2 linked regions of the Rattus norvegicus genome follow. The protein of the gene in region 1 purifies or fractionates together with the protein of each later gene. This does not show direct contact. Links are inferred from orthologs where the notes say so. Each region holds a gene or a part of one and is shown on either strand. Other genes may lie near its edges. The genes, in order: Rps6ka4 and Csnk2b.

Region 1 (4,413 bases):
TCTTAGGGACAAATAAGAAAGGAGAGGTTATGCTCTAGCAGAGACAGGTTAAAGGGGTGAAATGTCACAGTTCTGACACCTAGGAAGAGGGAACCTCACAGCTGAGGAAATGCTTCCATCAGACTGGCCTACGGGCGTCTTGGAGGAGACCTTTTCTTGATTCCTAATTGATTATAGGAGGGTTTAAGTCACTGTGGGTGGTACATTCCTAGGTAGATGGGCTCAGGTTATGTAATAAAGCTAGCTAAGCAAGTCAAGGGATGCAGTGCTCACAAGCGGCAGTGCTCCTCCTCACAAGCGGCAGTGCTCCTCCTCACAAGCGGCAGTGCTCCTCCTCACAAGCGGCAGTGCTCCTCCTCACAAGCAGTGTTCCTCTATGGTCTCTGCTTCAGTTCCCATCTCCAGATTCCAGCCTTGAGTTCCTGCCTTGACTTCCCTCAGTTACGGACTGTAACCTGAAAACCAAGCTGCTTTCAGTCAGAATGTTTTATCACAGCAACAAAGAAGCTAACTAATACAGGGACAATTAGGCTGGGTGGCAGGATGTGAGTCAGGGCACCTGAGGCTGCCGGAGGGAGGGTGGGGCTCCCCGGGATAGGTGGAGTGGGGTCCTTGAGCAATCAGCCCTGCAGGCTCCCTCTTTAATTCTTTTCGAAATTACATTTATTTTATATTATGCCATATGTTTGCACTGTATGTAGGTGCAGGCATTTAGATCTAAAGGCAGCGTGTGGAAGTCGGTTCTTTCTACCATGTGGGAGGGAACCAGGCATTCAACTCAGATGGTCTCCTTTGGGGCAAAAGTAACTTTACCCATGTAAAGTGGCTTCCTGTTTTTGAAGTGTACTCTCAAGATGCCCAATACCGACCCAGCATCAAGAGCCTAGGGCCCCCATGTCCAGGGAATAGAAAGACCCCTACTGTATTTGCTGAGCTTAACGAGTGGTCCTAAAGAAGGAGGTGGGCTGTGATTTGTGTCAATTGGCTCAGAGGAGCAGAAGAGGTGAGGCTGCCACGTGGGAGGGAGGGCTCCATAAGCCTGGGTGGGCAGCCCTCCTCAAATCCTGGGACACAGACCTCTAGTGTCCTCCATATTCTGCGGGACCGACGCCAGGCTAGGAGGCTTTCTCCCGCTGCAGCCACATGCCATCCAAAGGCCCCGCACGGCTCTCACCGGTCCAGGGGCCGGGAGACCCTGCCGCCCTCTCAGGCTTCCCACCCGCAGCCCCGTTCTGTCACGTTCCAGCCGCCTGACTCAGGCCGCACGGGGCGGGGAGCCGGGAGGCGGTGCTGGCGCCCGCTCGGCCCCGGAGGCGGCACCAGGAAGCACCCGCCCCGGCCGGAGCCGCCATGTAACCGGCGCCGCCCGGAGCCCCAGCCGCGCGGGCCCCAGCGACCGGCCCGCCATGGGAGACGAGGATGAGGATGAGGGCTGCGCCGTGGAGCTGCAGATCACCGAAGGTGGGTGCCAGATCCCGAGGCGGCTGCCCGGGACGGATGGCAAGAGTCAGCGACCCGCTGGGCTCATTCGCCCCCCTGTGCCCGCAGCCAACCTGACCGGGCATGAGGAGAAGGTGAGCGTGGAGAACTTCGCGCTGCTCAAGGTGCTGGGCACGGGAGGTGAGAAACTGCGTTCACTGGGCTAGTGCCCTGGCATGGTACTTTGGGCCTTCTGCCCGCCCACTTGCCTGGACCTGGGCTTGGGCCTGGCTGCTGGGGAGGTCCCCCCACCCTTTCCCGGCAGAGCACCCCTTGCCCGCCCCGCCCCACCGTACCAGGGTTCCGTGCCCACTTGCAGGGCGTCCGCGTTGACAAGACTGTTCTCTACAAAGTCCTGTGTGTGCATGCCCCCTGCCGCGATTTCCTAGTCTCTTTGGGGTTTTGACTCCCTCCCAAGGGCTTTGCATAGCTTCTCCCCCTTCTTTCCTTGCGAGCCCCACTCTTGTATTTTGCAAATCCCCCAGTCCGGGTTTGCACATCCCTACGCTGTCTAGGAGCGCGCCTCTGCCTCCGTGCCAGCGTTTTCATCTTTTCTCAGCTCTCTGATCATCCCAGGTTTGCACGTGCCCCGCCCCCTCCCCGCCCCGCAGGCCTTCTGGAGTTGCAAGCTCCCCAGGCTAGTTTGCACTGCACATTGCTTCTCCAGCTTAACTGAGCACCCTCCAGGGAGGGCTCACCTTTTCCTTAGAAGGCTCTGTCAGCCTTTTGCACCCCTCTTCCCACCAGTCTGCACCGCCCTCGCACTTACAGCCCACCTTCCAACCGCTTGCTTGCTGCTCCCACAGCCTACGGGAAGGTGTTCCTGGTGCGGAAGGCGGGTGGGCACGATGCGGGCAAGCTCTATGCCATGAAGGTGCTTCGCAAGGCGGCGTTGGTGCAGCGCGCCAAGACGCAGGAGCATACCCGCACCGAACGCTCAGTGCTGGAGCTGGTACGCCAGGCACCCTTCCTGGTCACACTGCACTACGCCTTCCAGACGGACGCCAAACTGCACCTCATCCTGGGTGAGAGCCTGTCATATCTTAGCTTTGGAGGGCGATGGGAGTCGTTAGGCTACCTTGTGGGGGAACATCTCAACTTTTCCTGCACCCCCAGACTATGTGAGCGGTGGTGAGATGTTCACTCACCTGTACCAGCGCCAGTACTTCAAGGAGGCTGAGGTGCGAGTGTACGGGGGAGAGATTGTGCTGGCCCTAGAGCACCTGCACAAGGTAGGAGAGGGCCCTGGCTTTTGGCTGCTCTCTGGGGACTGCCCTGAACCTAATGAGGGGCTTCCTGTTTCAGGGGCAGCATGGGTGGGGATCTTGAAAAAACTGCTTGCCTTGGCATGACCTGGAGGGTCTTCTGCTCCAGAGACTTCTGGAAGGGGCTTTCCTTCAACAGGAACTTAGGCTAACCCTCATCAGACTTCCTTAAGTGGTGACCTCAGACCTCAGTCCCCAAGACCTCTGAAATGGGGCTTTTTGTTTACACTCTTGGAGGCCCGTGCACAGGACTTCTCGATTTATCCCTTTGGTGGCCCTTCTTGATTCCCTTCTTATTCGTTTTTATTGTGTACATCTGTGGTAAGTGTATGTGCATATGTGCCAGAGTACATATGTGGGTCAGATTCTGTGACATTAATGATCTCCTTCCACCATTACATGGATGCTAGGGATCAATCTCAGAGTGTCAGCACTGTCTGCTGAGCCTTCTCGATGGCCCTTAGCCATCTCACGTAGCCTGAGCTGGCCTTGAAATCCCTATGTAGTCAAGAAAGACCTTAAACTTCTGACCCTGCAGCTCCTGTCTCTTTGAAACTGAGAGTACAGGCTTGTCCATCACGCCCAGTTTCTTGGGGTGCTGGGGATCCAACTGAGGAGCTCATGCTAGGTACTCTACTAACCAGTCCCACCCAGCCCCAGCCCTCACTTTTTTCTCTTCTTCCTTTTCTTCTTCATTTGTTGTTTTGTTTTGAGAGTCTCACTTTGTAACCCAGCTCTCCTGGTAGTCGATGAGTAGCCTAGGCTGGCCTCCTATCATAGCCTTCTGTCAACTAGGATGGCAGGTGTGTGCTTACATGCCTGGATCCAGTGGCTTTTCTTAACTAATAACTAGCCCTGCCCCGGCCTCATCCTGCCCTGGACATCTTCAGGGCACATCTTTATCCTAAGTGGGGACCCGCAGGAATGTGTAGGACAACTATCAGGGCAGCACTCAATGTCCCCTCTGCTCCTGCCAGTTGGGCATCATCTACAGGGACCTGAAGCTGGAGAACGTCTTACTTGACTCTGAAGGTCACATTGTCCTCACAGACTTTGGTTTGAGCAAGGAGTTCCTGACTGAGGAGGTGAGTGGATGGCAAGCTCTGCCCATGGTGCTTCCAGGCAGGCCTTTGTTGTGCTCCCTCCATATCAGCCCCCTGGGCGCTGCAGAGTAGTTGGGTACAAGGTTCCCACTGTTTTGTTCCGAGTCTTCTAAAGTTGAGCAAGTTCTGCTCTAAGTTTTTAGGGCCTTTGGGGTACGGGTGAAGTTGAGGTATCCAAATGGGTCCTCTTGGCTTCCCAGAAAGAGCGAACCTTCTCCTTCTGTGGCACCATCGAGTACATGGCTCCCGAAATCATCCGAAGCAAGGCTGGACATGGCAAGGTGGGTTGTCAGGGTGAAGATGGCAGGGGTGGGGCTAGTGCACAAGGCCTTCACTCTGACCCTGCCCCATAGGCTGTGGACTGGTGGAGCCTGGGTATCCTGCTCTTCGAGCTGCTGACAGGAGCCTCACCCTTCACACTGGAGGGAGAAAGGAACACTCAGGCTGAGGTGTCTCGGTAAGTTGTACAGGTCATGGAGGGTAGCTGAGGGCTATACGGCCTGCCTGGGCTGGGCTGGGAGGGGGCTTGCTGCCCCTGACTCCCCACCCATCCTCCCAGACGGATC
Region 2 (4,528 bases), on another chromosome or scaffold:
ATAAACACTCACCGATGGGAAGCATCGGCTGGTTCTCACAGTATACTCGAGGACAGTAGCCAAAGTCTCCTTGCTGGTACTTTTCCAACTGACATGTATAAAACAGAAGGGAGTGGTCGGTGAGTGCGTAGGCAATCTCAACGCACTCCCGGTTCCCCCACGCCTCCCGAGTCTGACTAGAAGCCCCTTCTGTGGAGACAGGCCCTCCAACCCCTCAGGTGCTTTTCCTTCGTGGGGCCGGCTGCAGAGCACAGGGCTGTTTGCCATGTGTCCCCTGCAAACTCCTTTTTCTGGTTTCATCTCCCTTCCTGAAAACACCACCTTCAATGGGACCCTCAGTGGCCCTGCCCTGGGCATCTCCCTCTCTCCTCTTCCCCAGCCTCTGACTCATGCACCCTTCCCCTCCTGTAGAAGTAGCAGGAGCAGAGCCTCACCATTTGTGCAATGCCCCGGTTGGTGAGGATGTAGCGGGCGTGGATCAACCCATAGAGCATCTCGGCCGCCTGCTCAATCAAGTCACTCTGGTTGGGGTTGTCTTCCAGCTCTTCATCTGAAATGTGGGGCGGCCACTTGTTTAGCTTCCCTAGGTATCCCTACCTTACCTGCAGTACCTGTTCCTAAGCTCGCCCTACCCACCATCCATGCATCTGACCCAGAAACCTGGGCTCCTGACTCCTCTACAAGGTCAAGACCCTCAGCGCAGCCTCTCTGTATGCCTTAGTCTCTGCCTAAGTCCCTCTCTCCTTCCACAGTAAGTAAATGTAAACACACAACCACAGAGGTGGCCCTCGAGGGCAGCAGAGGGAAAGAGGCAGCACACCAGGCCCAAGAGGAAATCACCATTACAAAACAGCCGAGCTGCTTTCAGAGAGCATCAAGACCAGGCAAGGAATCAAAACAGTGGAGAAGTTAAGCACTGCTGTGTGCCTCTCTCCAGCATGGAAAGCTAGGGCAGGACAGCACGTGGTAAAGTCCAGTTTGGGTTATGAATGGAGGGGCTAGAGGTGGGGGAGGAAACACAGGAGCAAGCGAGAATCAAAAGGAAATTTAGAAATTCAAGAAGCAAGCCAGTCTGTGATTCCAGCACTCAGGAGGCAGAGGCAGACAGATCTCTGTGAGTTCGAGGACAGCCTGGTCTACAGACTGAGTTCTAGGACCGACAAGGCTACCCAGGAAAATCCTGTCTCCACTACCCCTCTCCCCGCAAAAAACAAAACAAAACAAAAACAAACAAACAAACAAACAAACAAACAAAAAAACCCCAACATCAACAAATTCAAGAAGCAAGCAAGCAGAGAGCAGAAGAGAACGGAAACAAAGCACCCACAAGTGCACTCTATCACCAACCCCACAGTCAGCAACAACCCAGGACACACGTTAGTTACCAGGTTCCAGGTCCAAGATCATGTCTAGGGCTTGTCGATAGTGAGGCACCTGCTCATTGAGTCCAGTAAGATTAAATTTGTCCTGGATGTAGTCTTCATCCACCTACAGGGGAGTCAAGGGGTTCAAACCAGTATAGAAAGGCCCGTCATCTTCCCACCTGGGCCCAGGAGATAGTCTTTCCTCAGCCAAGCCACCTCTCATGTTTCCTAGTCCCAGTTCTGCAGAAGTACTCAAGTTTCATAAAAACTGCAGCTCTTTTCTTTAAGGCAAACCAGATCCAGCACACAAAGACATTATTCAGCTTCTGTCCCTCATTTTACAAATTGCATGTGCCCTCTTCTTGGGGACAGCAGACTCCTGAGCTGAAGACCTCGGAATCATGAAGGTCAAGTAGTTTAGTTTCTGAAAGGTATTTATAATTTTCTACCTTAGCACACCGTGCTTTGCACGTTACACAACTTTGACATGAGAGGTTTTAACTGCCCTAATGGTCACCAGAGACACCTCTGTTAGCCATGCATATTGACAAACCCTCACAATACTAGCACTCAGGAGGCGGCCGGTAGGATTGCCAGGAGTTCAAGGCCAGTCTAGTCTGCATAGTGAGCTCGATCGAAATCTGCTCTCAAACGACGTAAAATCAAACATCGAGGGCATGTGGAGTTGGCCGACCTAAACTCACCTCACAGAAGAATTCATTACCACGGAGCCCACAGAACCAGGAAATCCAGGACACCTCCTCAGAGCTACTCATCTTTATGTCCGCTGAGAAAGAAGAGCCTAAGTAAGTGGAGACCAAGCTGTTTCTGGTCTCTTCCCTCCTCCCACACGTTCTCCACAACGACGGATGAATCCGAGTCCAGCCGGGCTTAAAGGATCCCGGCCTCTGAAGCATCTCCAAGCTCCTCTCCTTTAGCTCGGCCCCCCCTTACAGTGTGCTGAGAACGAGTTCCGCTACTTTCCAGAAAATGACAGGTCCTGATCTGTTAGTGTTACCCCCGTCCCTGGCGCTCCTCACGGCCAGGCCCCTCTCCCCTCCATGTCAGCCGCGACAGGGCCCTCGGCTCGGGCTCCCCACCACCGCAGGTGCCTGCATATTCCTGGCGCCTGTCCCAAAGCTCCCGAAGTTCATTTTACCCAACAGAATCGGCCTCTCCTGCCCTCGCAGGGTTGGCGAGGGCACCACACTTCCGTGGGACTCACGAGCGTCCCCACAAGCCGCCTCCTCTCCCCAGGCCCCCCGACCTCCTTCGGCTACCGACCCGGTCACTTCCTTCGTCGCCCCCACATCGAGGAGCACCGACCCGAGTGCCGCGCCCAGGGACCGGCGACTGGGCGCGGAGACAACCCCACACTCACCGGCCGGACGGGGACTGGGACTGGGGCGGGGAAGGGGAGCTGTGCTTCCAAGGAACGGCAGAGACCGCTACAGCGCAAAAAGCCGACCCGGCCGCGGCAGACGAAGTGGGGAGGGGGGGACTGGAAACTGGTGAGGGTTTAGGGGTTGGGGGGGAGAAGAGAGCAACGCGCAGGCGCTAAGGACCGCCCCCCTACCTCCGTGGACGCCGGGAGATGTAGTCCCGTCAGGAGAGAGAAACTGACGAAATGAAGGGAAGGCAAACTACCAATCCCAGGAGGACCCGCGCATGACTCTAGGGCCGCGAGGCCCTAGAGGAAGCCGCCCGGGGGCGGGGCGAACGGAGCGCCACCGGAAGCGGAAGCCTAGCACGGAGTCTTCTCGACCAGGAAGCCTGGGAAATATAGTCTTAGGAGGCTGGCTAGACTACGGGGCTAGCGCCCGGGGTGATTGTCATCCCTACGGTGCTCTCTCGGCGTTGCGCTTTAGTTTTTCTCCCTCCTCCCCGTGCCAGGCCAACCCACTGGACCCTGGCTCTCCTGCCAGGCCCGCGACAGAGCGCGCTCGGGCTCCGGCATGCGCAGAGGTGTGGTGAGGGACTTAGGTCGGGTGTGCTTAGGACGCGCTGAGCTGTGCATACGGCGTGAGAATCTAGACCGCCCTGCGCGCTAACCTGAGGTGGGGCCAGCCATTCTGCCGCTCGTCCCTTTGTACTTCTCCATTTCCTCAGAGCTTGATGGAGCGTCCTGCTGCGGACCCTAACTGTTCTTCAAACCCTGCTCAGAGTAGTGGTGAGGGGTGCCGTGATGTTACTTCATCTCACAGCTCCTCGGCATTCCACAGGTCTCCCCCTCTGTGTCCTCAGAGTCTTTCTGAACGCAGAGGGTGGCCTCCCAGCTCCAGGAAAGGAGCTTGGTGCTGGAGGGACCAGGGCGAGGGTGGCGAAGAGCATTGTGGGGGCGTTATGTAAAAGCAGGACCCCAACCGACAGGTTCCCCCTTGGGTCCTCGCGCTCCTGGGCACGCGATGCTTTACACGGATGCTTGGAAAGGTTCCAGCGCGGGAAACTGAACCTTGTGGGTGTTTTGTTGTTGTTGCTGGTGCGCATGCGTCATGGCTCCCTGTAGCTCTGATTGTATCAACTCTTAGAGATTATGAGAGCGCCATTTTGCGGTACGGAAATGACAGTGCAGCGTCTTTCCCCGAAAGCTTCCGGAATAATGTCACGCCTGTTTTTTATCTGGGAAAAGGAGACCCCCCCTAGATAAGATCGAGCAAGATTTAAAAGGCTGAACTGATATTTTCAAACGGTATGTGTTAGAGGACAGGAAAAATGATTTCAGAGAGAGCCTGGCATTTTTGTAGGAAGATGGGAGTTGAACGCAGGACCCCTAGACCCCTATTCTTGTGGAATATTTTTCCTGTTATCCTTTTTCTTTTCTGTGTTAGAGATAGAACCTAGAATTCTCAAATTCGGGGCGAGCATTCTACCCAGAGACATAGGTACCTACCATGCCCTCCTGAAATTATATTAACATTGTGGCAGGATCAGTTATTCCTGGGTTACATTTTATCCATGAGCCCTGGGCTCTACAGAATCCTAGGTATGAAGTCAGTGTGGGGATGGAAGGTCCATTTTAGTTGTAGGCTGCTGGGCCCCTGGAGGTGGTGCTGGTCTTCACAAGAGCTACCTGAAAGGTAGGCTTGCTTGGCACATCCTCCTGCCTTGCCTGGTCTTCATTTTCTCACTTTTCCCACAGCCATGTCCAAGCCATCCCTCATCAC

Evidence for each region.
Region 2: the proteins of Rps6ka4 (region 1) and Csnk2b purify together in Homo sapiens (affinity purification with mass spectrometry; 3 studies listed by BioGRID and IntAct, with this or other methods). This does not show direct contact. The link is inferred for Rattus norvegicus from reciprocal best matches to the Homo sapiens genes RPS6KA4 and CSNK2B.

Annotation. Positions count from the first base shown.
Region 1 is NC_086019.1:213,458,928-213,463,340, reverse strand, and holds the start of Rps6ka4 (ribosomal protein S6 kinase alpha-4), read left to right. Parts: upstream 1-1,358; 5' UTR 1,359-1,406; coding exon 1,407-1,461; intron 1,462-1,548; coding exon 1,549-1,620; intron 1,621-2,285; coding exon 2,286-2,504; intron 2,505-2,595; coding exon 2,596-2,711; intron 2,712-3,721; coding exon 3,722-3,829; intron 3,830-4,047; coding exon 4,048-4,128; intron 4,129-4,200; coding exon 4,201-4,304; intron 4,305-4,406; coding exon 4,407-4,413. UniProt on the Homo sapiens protein: Serine/threonine-protein kinase that is required for the mitogen or stress-induced phosphorylation of the transcription factors CREB1 and ATF1 and for the regulation of the transcription factor RELA, and that contributes to gene activation by histone phosphorylation and functions in the regulation of inflammatory genes.
Region 2 is NC_086038.1:3,704,059-3,708,586, reverse strand, and holds the start of Csnk2b (casein kinase II subunit beta), read right to left. Parts: upstream 2,865-4,528; 5' UTR 2,746-2,864; intron 2,152-2,745; coding exon of another isoform or gene 2,141-2,151; coding exon 2,069-2,140; intron 1,489-2,068; coding exon 1,386-1,488; intron 551-1,385; coding exon 435-550; intron 89-434; coding exon 13-88; intron 1-12. Other genes in the region: Gpank1 (G patch domain and ankyrin repeat-containing protein 1), read left to right, coding at 3,783-3,819, 4,504-4,528. UniProt on the Homo sapiens protein: Regulatory subunit of casein kinase II/CK2.